2 linked regions of the Mus musculus genome follow. Each later gene encodes a partner of the first gene's protein in a complex. Links are inferred from orthologs where the notes say so. Each region holds a gene or a part of one and is shown on either strand. Other genes may lie near its edges.

The links. Proteins that work in one complex are often made in the same cells at the same time.
Region 2: the proteins of Scn7a (region 1) and Scn3b are in contact, whole or in part, in a cryo-EM structure (PDB 7TJ9), measured with the Homo sapiens proteins. The link is inferred for Mus musculus from reciprocal best matches to the Homo sapiens genes SCN7A and SCN3B. Residues at the interface, in NP_002967.2 of Homo sapiens: Arg269, Glu293, Tyr296, Leu298, Glu299, Leu305, Gln315, Cys316, Pro317, Glu318, Gly319, Tyr320, Asn922, Ile923, Thr926, Cys927, Lys929, Ile930, Phe939, Ile956, Tyr957, Asp959, Gln960, Ile966, Tyr970, Met973, Ile974, Tyr977, Ile978, Leu981; in NP_001035241.1 of Homo sapiens: Val25, Cys26, Val27, Glu28, Val29, Arg44, Ile46, Lys50, Arg51, Glu52, Glu53, Val54, Asn95, Gly96, Ser97, Asp99, Gln101, Asp102, Phe126, Phe128, Ala130, His131, Pro133, Val135, Thr154, Ser155, Ser158, Glu159, Met162, Leu165.

What each region holds. Positions count from the first base shown.
Region 1 is NC_000068.7:66,690,911-66,694,410, forward strand, and holds part of Scn7a (sodium channel protein type 7 subunit alpha), read right to left. Parts: intron 1,751-3,500; coding exon 1,596-1,750; intron 1-1,595. UniProt on the Homo sapiens protein: Sodium leak channel functioning as an osmosensor regulating sodium ion levels in various tissues and organs. While most sodium channels are voltage-gated, SCN7A is not and lets sodium flow through membrane along its concentration gradient.
Region 2 is NC_000075.6:40,275,716-40,279,215, reverse strand, and holds part of Scn3b (sodium channel subunit beta-3 isoform a precursor), read right to left. Parts: intron 2,149-3,500; coding exon 1,985-2,148; intron 1-1,984. UniProt on the Homo sapiens protein: Regulatory subunit of multiple voltage-gated sodium (Nav) channels directly mediating the depolarization of excitable membranes.

The DNA of each region.
Region 1 (3,500 bases):
CTCATTTTAATAGTGCTTTGGCCCTAATGCTTGCATCTTGTGTCCATAAGGACCACTGTGCTTAATTCTGATTCGTATGGAGAACCTAGGATCTCTTCAAGATCTTGAATTTAGTCACATTGTCAGGGATCTTTTGTCATTTAAGTGAGGATAGATATGGACACAATTAGGGGCCATTATTCAGATGGCCATTGAATCGAAGAAACAGCACAAGGCTGAGAAAGAGGACAGATACACTGCTGTGAAAATACTTTCCAGTGATACAAAGCTGCACACCAACTTAACCTGCTACATTATGATGTCCTGTGAATTGAACATTATACATAAACAAGGAATGGAATGGAAAGTTCACAAGATGCTATAGGGGAAAAGGCACTTTCTGCTACTAAGAAAAGACAATGCTCTCTGGAGCACCTCAGGCCCAAAGGCAAAATTCCACGCTTGACAATACTGGTCTAACCTATTTATAAGGTGACTTGAATTACTTATTTCTTTTCAGCTGGATCTAGTGAAAGAAGGGTTATCTGAAATTTTAGCTACACTCTTTGTAGCCTGTGCATTTGAGCAACAGGAAGATAGCATGATATCTTCAAAAGGAACTTGTGATGGAGAAAGAAACTGCAAGGAGCACCTGGCCGTCCTCCTGGGGGGGGGGGGAACGGTGTCCAAGCCTTCTGTTCCCTACCTATAAGATAAGTGACTTTTTAAGTGTTTGTTCCTGGACAGAATAGAAAACTGGATGTCATAGTAGGTGCTCCATATAAACTGAGATGTCATTTGACTGACTTTTTGAGTGCTTGTACCAAGAAATTATTTTTTTTTTAAAAAGAAAGTGTTTACCCGGCAAACAGGGATGACTGACACTTACGTCATCACTGCAAAGTTATGTGCTATACAACAAAAGGGATGGGGAGGAAACACGCATGCACATCCTATTGAAAAAGATTTTATGAAGATCAAACAAATGTATAAAGTGAAGAAGAAATCCACAAATTGATGGCTACCCATGGAGAAACTTATTGTGTGTAGTCAGAATATGGTTGTAGACTTCTGATGCTTGTTAGCAACCAAGTCATAGCTAGCTACCTGGACTCGTTCATTTGTTTCTTCTCAGACACCAATTTTCAGTGGCTTTTACTACAATTTTAGAAAAGCACACTATATCAATTTGGGGGTGTTAATCTGTGGAATTTATTAATGAGTAAAACTTTAATAAAACCAGTAGAACCAAGTATATATTTTCACTTTCCTTTCCAATTACAAAATGTACATTTTGAAATCATTGTTTATTTAATTTTGTTACTTAAATACTCATATTAAACATTTGTATATATTATAAATATAAAGTTTACCATAAACACACCGTTGATAAAAATTAATATAACTTAAAATCACATTGATATTAAATTTACTATCTAATCATCTACAATGTTTCTAATAAGGTGTGATGTATTTTGTAATGCTAACAGAGTGCAGAAAATGAACTCTGGTGTTATATTAAGTATCCTGAGTAAAGTCATTTGGCATAGTGACAATCTGAATTGTTAGTCGTAGAGCATATTTTCACATGACATTTCCTGAGGCTGAGAGCTCACCAGAGTGCCTGTGCAGAGCAGAGTGACCAGGCCAATGAAACACTCAAACCAGCTGTTCTCTACTATCTTGCAGCAAGTTTTCCTGATGTTTTTCCAAATCTTTCCATTCCTAGATTCTCTACTGATTTGACCAGTTGAAGATTTGCGTTCATAACCTGCCAAGGATGGAACTGTTAGAAGCAACCATTTAGGGAACTCACAAAGGATAAACATCTCAATTTTGGATGCTTTACTGTTGACTTATTTACTGATTCTGATGCAGATGCTCTGTGATTCACAGACATTTGGCTTTTTCCCGCCACTCAGTGGTCTGTGATGAGTGAGGAAATGAGAAGAACAGAACTTGTGGATTTGGAAGACGGAGAAATTAGATACACAAGCTCAATATAACAGAATGTCCTTTAACCCTAGAGGAAAAAGAACTAATATGAAGGAAATCAGTCCACCAATGTTACCCTAAAATGTGCACACATGTGAGATAGCTTGTCAATCATGTTTTGAATACTCAGTACAATCATTTAAGACACAATTACTCATATTGACATATATATTAGTAAGTCAATACATTTTCCCTGAAATTGATTCTTAAGCAGCATAGAAATGGAGAACCTGAGAGAGAGAATTTACAGAGGTACTCAGGAATCCAAGTACTTCATGGGTTCAGAACATGTAGCTGTAAGAAGCCTGCCTTCTTGTAAGAGAGTTAGCACAAACAAATCTACAGCTCAGTAAGTAAATGATTATTGGTTTGTTTGAAAAACTGGTTTTGAGTGTAAGATAAAGTTAAAAAATTAATTTTAGTGCCAGAATATGCTTCTCTACTAAACCTTGAATATATTTCTACCATTGTCTTAGTTGATCAATGCCCTTGAACTAAAGTTGTTGAAAAATTTGTGTGTGTCTGCACACATACATCTCTTTCTGTGTCTCTGTCTGTGTCTCTCTCTCAGACTCTCTCTGTCTCTGTCTGTCTCTGTCTCTGTCTGTCTCTCTGTGTCTCTGTCTCTCTCTGTGTATGTGTGAGTGTGTCTGGTAGTACATGCAGGGATGTCTTTCCTAACGACTCCTACATCTATGTTTTGAGACAGGTCTCTCACTGAACTTGGAACTCCTCTTTTCCACTAGACTGGCTGGCCTGCAGGCTCCTGGATCCACCTGTGTCTGCTTCACCAACACAGGGATGATAGACATGACTGCCAGCTTAGCTTTTATGTACATGATTGGGATGCAAGTTCAGGTCGTTCTGGATTCTATAGCAAGTGCTCTATCCATATCATATCCACCCTGAGCCATATTTTGAACCACAGATATTCTTATTTTAAAGCTATCAATTGAGCATTTTTGACAGTAATTTAATGACTGCAATGATTTCAAGTCTAAATCTCTAGTAATTTATTAATTTTGCTAGTAAACAAATTTGAAATATAAATCACCAAGAAACATATAGTATATTCTAGTGTGCCAAAGAGCTCCCTGAAATTGTATTTTATATGTACTAATCTTTATATACATATATAAACATATAATTATGCTCCATTTTTGTATAAAGTATATAGAAAATTAAGTTGACTGACTCAATTCATGAAGTCAAAATTATTTTACTTGCAATCTATATAGTCTAGTGTCAATTTAGCTACACTTCCTGCTCTACTATAATGTATTTAGTTTTATCAGCTATAGTATGCAATTAAATAAAAGCTTTAAATATATTCTTAGTATTATTTATACCATGAAATGTACATTTGAGTAAACTATCAATATTATTCCACTAATCACGAGTTCTCAGAGTTCCTTTCTGTATCAGCTATGTCAGACACTATCTCGGTTGGCTTAGTCAATGGGTTAGGATGCTGCTGCTGCTGCTGCTGCTGAGTGTTGCTATTCTTGGAAAAGGTTATCTTCTAG
Region 2 (3,500 bases), on another chromosome or scaffold:
AGACAGAGCAAGGTAGGTAGAGGCAAACAGATGGCATGGTAAGGGGAGAGGCAGCATAGAGTAGTCAAAAAGAATGCTGGGAGAAAAAAGGAGTGGGGTGGAGAAGAAAGGAGACTAGGAAGAAGAAAACGAATGGTTGGGGACAGAAAGCAGGTAAAGGGTGGTGAGATATGGGATAAGGCAGCCAGGGAGGGAGAAGGACATAGAGACCAACAAGGCGACTGTGTTAACAGGGAAGATACCTGACAGCCCTGAGCTTGAAACCTGACGCTCTGAGATGCCATCTACCATGGTGAATATGGCACAACCTGGCCAGGCCAATGCATGATGCTGAAGGGTGCCCCGTGAGCTGAGACCTCACCACGGAGAGATGCTCGGAGAGCATTTGCTTTGGGCAGAGTTAGAACCAAAGTCAGGTCTTCCCGGCTTCCAGCTCAAACATTCTCTGACACCACACTGCTTTCATCTAGTCTCCACTAGCCATGGATGGTGACTGAAATTGGAATTCATATTTCCTAGACATTAACCACAATTTAGTTCCTCGGTTGGGTCAACTGGTTGGGACGGTGTGGAAGCAGTGAATGCGGCTAGCAAGCGCACAGGCCTAAACCCCATGGGCCCTTCATATCGAGCCAAGACCTCTGGCCTCCTAGAAATTGGGCATTAATCTGAATTGTACCCTCCCTGGTATATGATTCTAAGACTCTAAAAAGTCATTGTTGGCCCTTGCTTTGGCACCAGATAGGGAGCCAACTTAGATGCAAGTGCCACATGGAACTTAGATTCAGAAATGAGCCCACCGAAGGGGAAAGAAAGAACGAACAGATGAAAGTCACTTCCACCATGTTGTCTTCATTAAATATTGTGGGAGAGACCCAGGAAAATAAGAGAAATCAAGATAAGGAGACTTGGGTCTGCCATCAGACCACCATGTGCAAATCTAAACTCATGTGCATGTGTGTATGTAAATCTAAAAATCTAATGTGTGTATGTAATCTAATTTAATGTTCCTCTTTTGAGTTTCGTGGTTTTTTTTTTCTTTCTAACAAGCACTTATCATATTTCAAGGACTATTTTAAGGGCATTAAAAATCAGAGCTCATGACTCTTGGTAACAACCCCAAATGAAGTTTTTGTTTTTATTCCCACTTAAAAGAAAAAAATAATTAGAAAAATCAGAGGTTAAATATGACCAAGGGCATGTAGCTAAATACTGCCGAGAAAAGAATGGAACCTGGATGGCCTGGCTCCAGAGTCAGTGAAAGTATTGACAAAGATTTAAATGAATCACAGCCCCATGAGTACTGTCCCAAACCAGAACCGAAATTGACCCTCACTCTGACCCTGACCCTGGCCCTGAGCCTGGCACAGAGCCTGCAGGGCTTCTTCTCCTGCCAGGCATGAACCCTTTGGTGTCAAGATCATTGGGAGGGGAAGACTGAGGATTCCTCCTAGATAAGAATGGAGCATGGCCACCTGGGATACAGAGCAGGGCAAGAACATGCTAAGCACCTACTTACAGAGGTGGCTGTCCTGGGCATAGCGGTTGACACAAGCTGCGGTCACCCCAAGTTGCTCCTGCTTCACCGGGACTGTGAGAGTTCAAAGAACTCACCTGAGCTACTTTTCAGGAAGTTGCCTGTGTTCTTTCTTTCCGTTTCATTAAATCCATTTCATAGTACTGTGCAGAAGATGACCATACCCATAAAAGGTCTACCTGGGAGCCTAGCCCACACAGGTTCTCTCGATATGTTTCCCTCTTATAATGGTTCCTGCTTGTAACCAGGGCTGCTCACCCCTGCCCAAGTGATCTACCTTGAAAGACCCTGGGTTCATACAAGGCTGTCAGTTATCTGCTGAGAAGATGTCAGGGTTCAGGAAAGGCATGAGAGCAAGTCAGGGCATCATTATCCAGACTGTTAGGAACCAGGCACACAGCACCATAGGCCAGCACATGAAAAGCCAGAGGCGGCAGTCTGACATACAAGGAAATCTTTACCGCCCTCAGGCCTGTAGAACCACTCCACTACAGTGGTGGCCTCCACCTCCTCCCTCTTCATGCAGGAGATGCATCTCAGCTTCATGGAATTGCCCTGCACGGCTTCTGTCTCCGAGGGTACTTCTACACACACAGGGAAGCAGACTCTGACTGGAGAGAGGATGGGTGGCAAGAAAGGGACAGCCAGAGTGGGCAGGGGGGGATGAGGAGGGAGGGGGAAAGAGAGAGAAGAAAAATAAATCATTGAGACATACTTGAAAACAGTGAGATCCATGTTTGTATCCATTACTGGGGCTCCTTGAGTATGCATGATCAGGATGAGCCTAGAGCAAGATGGTGCGGAGTGGATCCTTCAACAGTGACTGGAAGCCATGAAGATGCAGCAAAGGATAGTCTTAAGCTTGACCCCAAAAGACTTGCAGTCTAGTGGGGTCATACATGCTTCCATCCATCAACTATTCACCCATGTGAACACACCCAGCAGGCATAGAAATCCATTCTTTGCCTGGTCTGATGCTGGATTAGAGATCCTAGGATGAACAACCTACTAGCCATGCTCTCGATGCATATATAACCCAACCGACAAAACATTTCTTTGGTGATTCAACCAGAACACACAAAGGGTCATTTTAGTAAGGTGGCCAGTTCTCCCAGACAGGCAGTTAGTTACTTGGGTTTGGCTGGGGAGAAAGGAAGACAGGGCTGGTGGGACATGAGACAGAAAGGCCAATACGACCTGTGTTGAAAAGACCTGTCAGTGCTCTGTGGGGTATTATGTCAAGTGCTCTAATGCTCTATAGGAGAGACAGAATCAGATCTGTGTTTGAGGACCCATGGAGGACGGTGCAACATCAGTGGGAGTATGGTGAACTGACCACTTAGGCTGGAGCAAGCTCGGTGCGGAGTACAGAGGCAAAATTAGAATTCTGGAGGGGTCAGATCATCTGACACATTGTCCACCATATGGAGGTTTGGACTTTGGGTTTCTACCCTCTAGAAACTCCCAAGTCCAAGGATCGAAGGTGACTATGTCAGATTGCAAATTTAGAATGAATCAAAAGCAGGGCATTGATGCCAACCAAACAAGAACAAACGTGGGATACATTAACAGATGTACAGTGTGCAGAAGGAAGGAGGGGGAGGAATTCTGCAATTGTTCAGAACAAGTCTGGATGGCATGTTGCATTTAACAAAAGGAAGCTGTTCCATAAGTCCACACCCAAAGTGGCTGAGAAGACCAGACCGCAAGACCTGATAAGGAGCAAGTCGGGGAGCACGGGATACTAAACTTGGACACAGAACAGGCTTGTCTTCCAACATTTCAGCCTGGCAGATGGAAACGAAATTCAATTATGCTCAATATTAAAAGTTATAAAAATCAGTTTGACACAGCTAATCTGTTTTTCTTTCAGTGTTTTGAGACAGGGTCTTGCCTTGTAGCCCAAGTTTACCTTGAACTCACAATCCCGATTTACTCTCTGAGGGGTGGGATTACAGGCCTG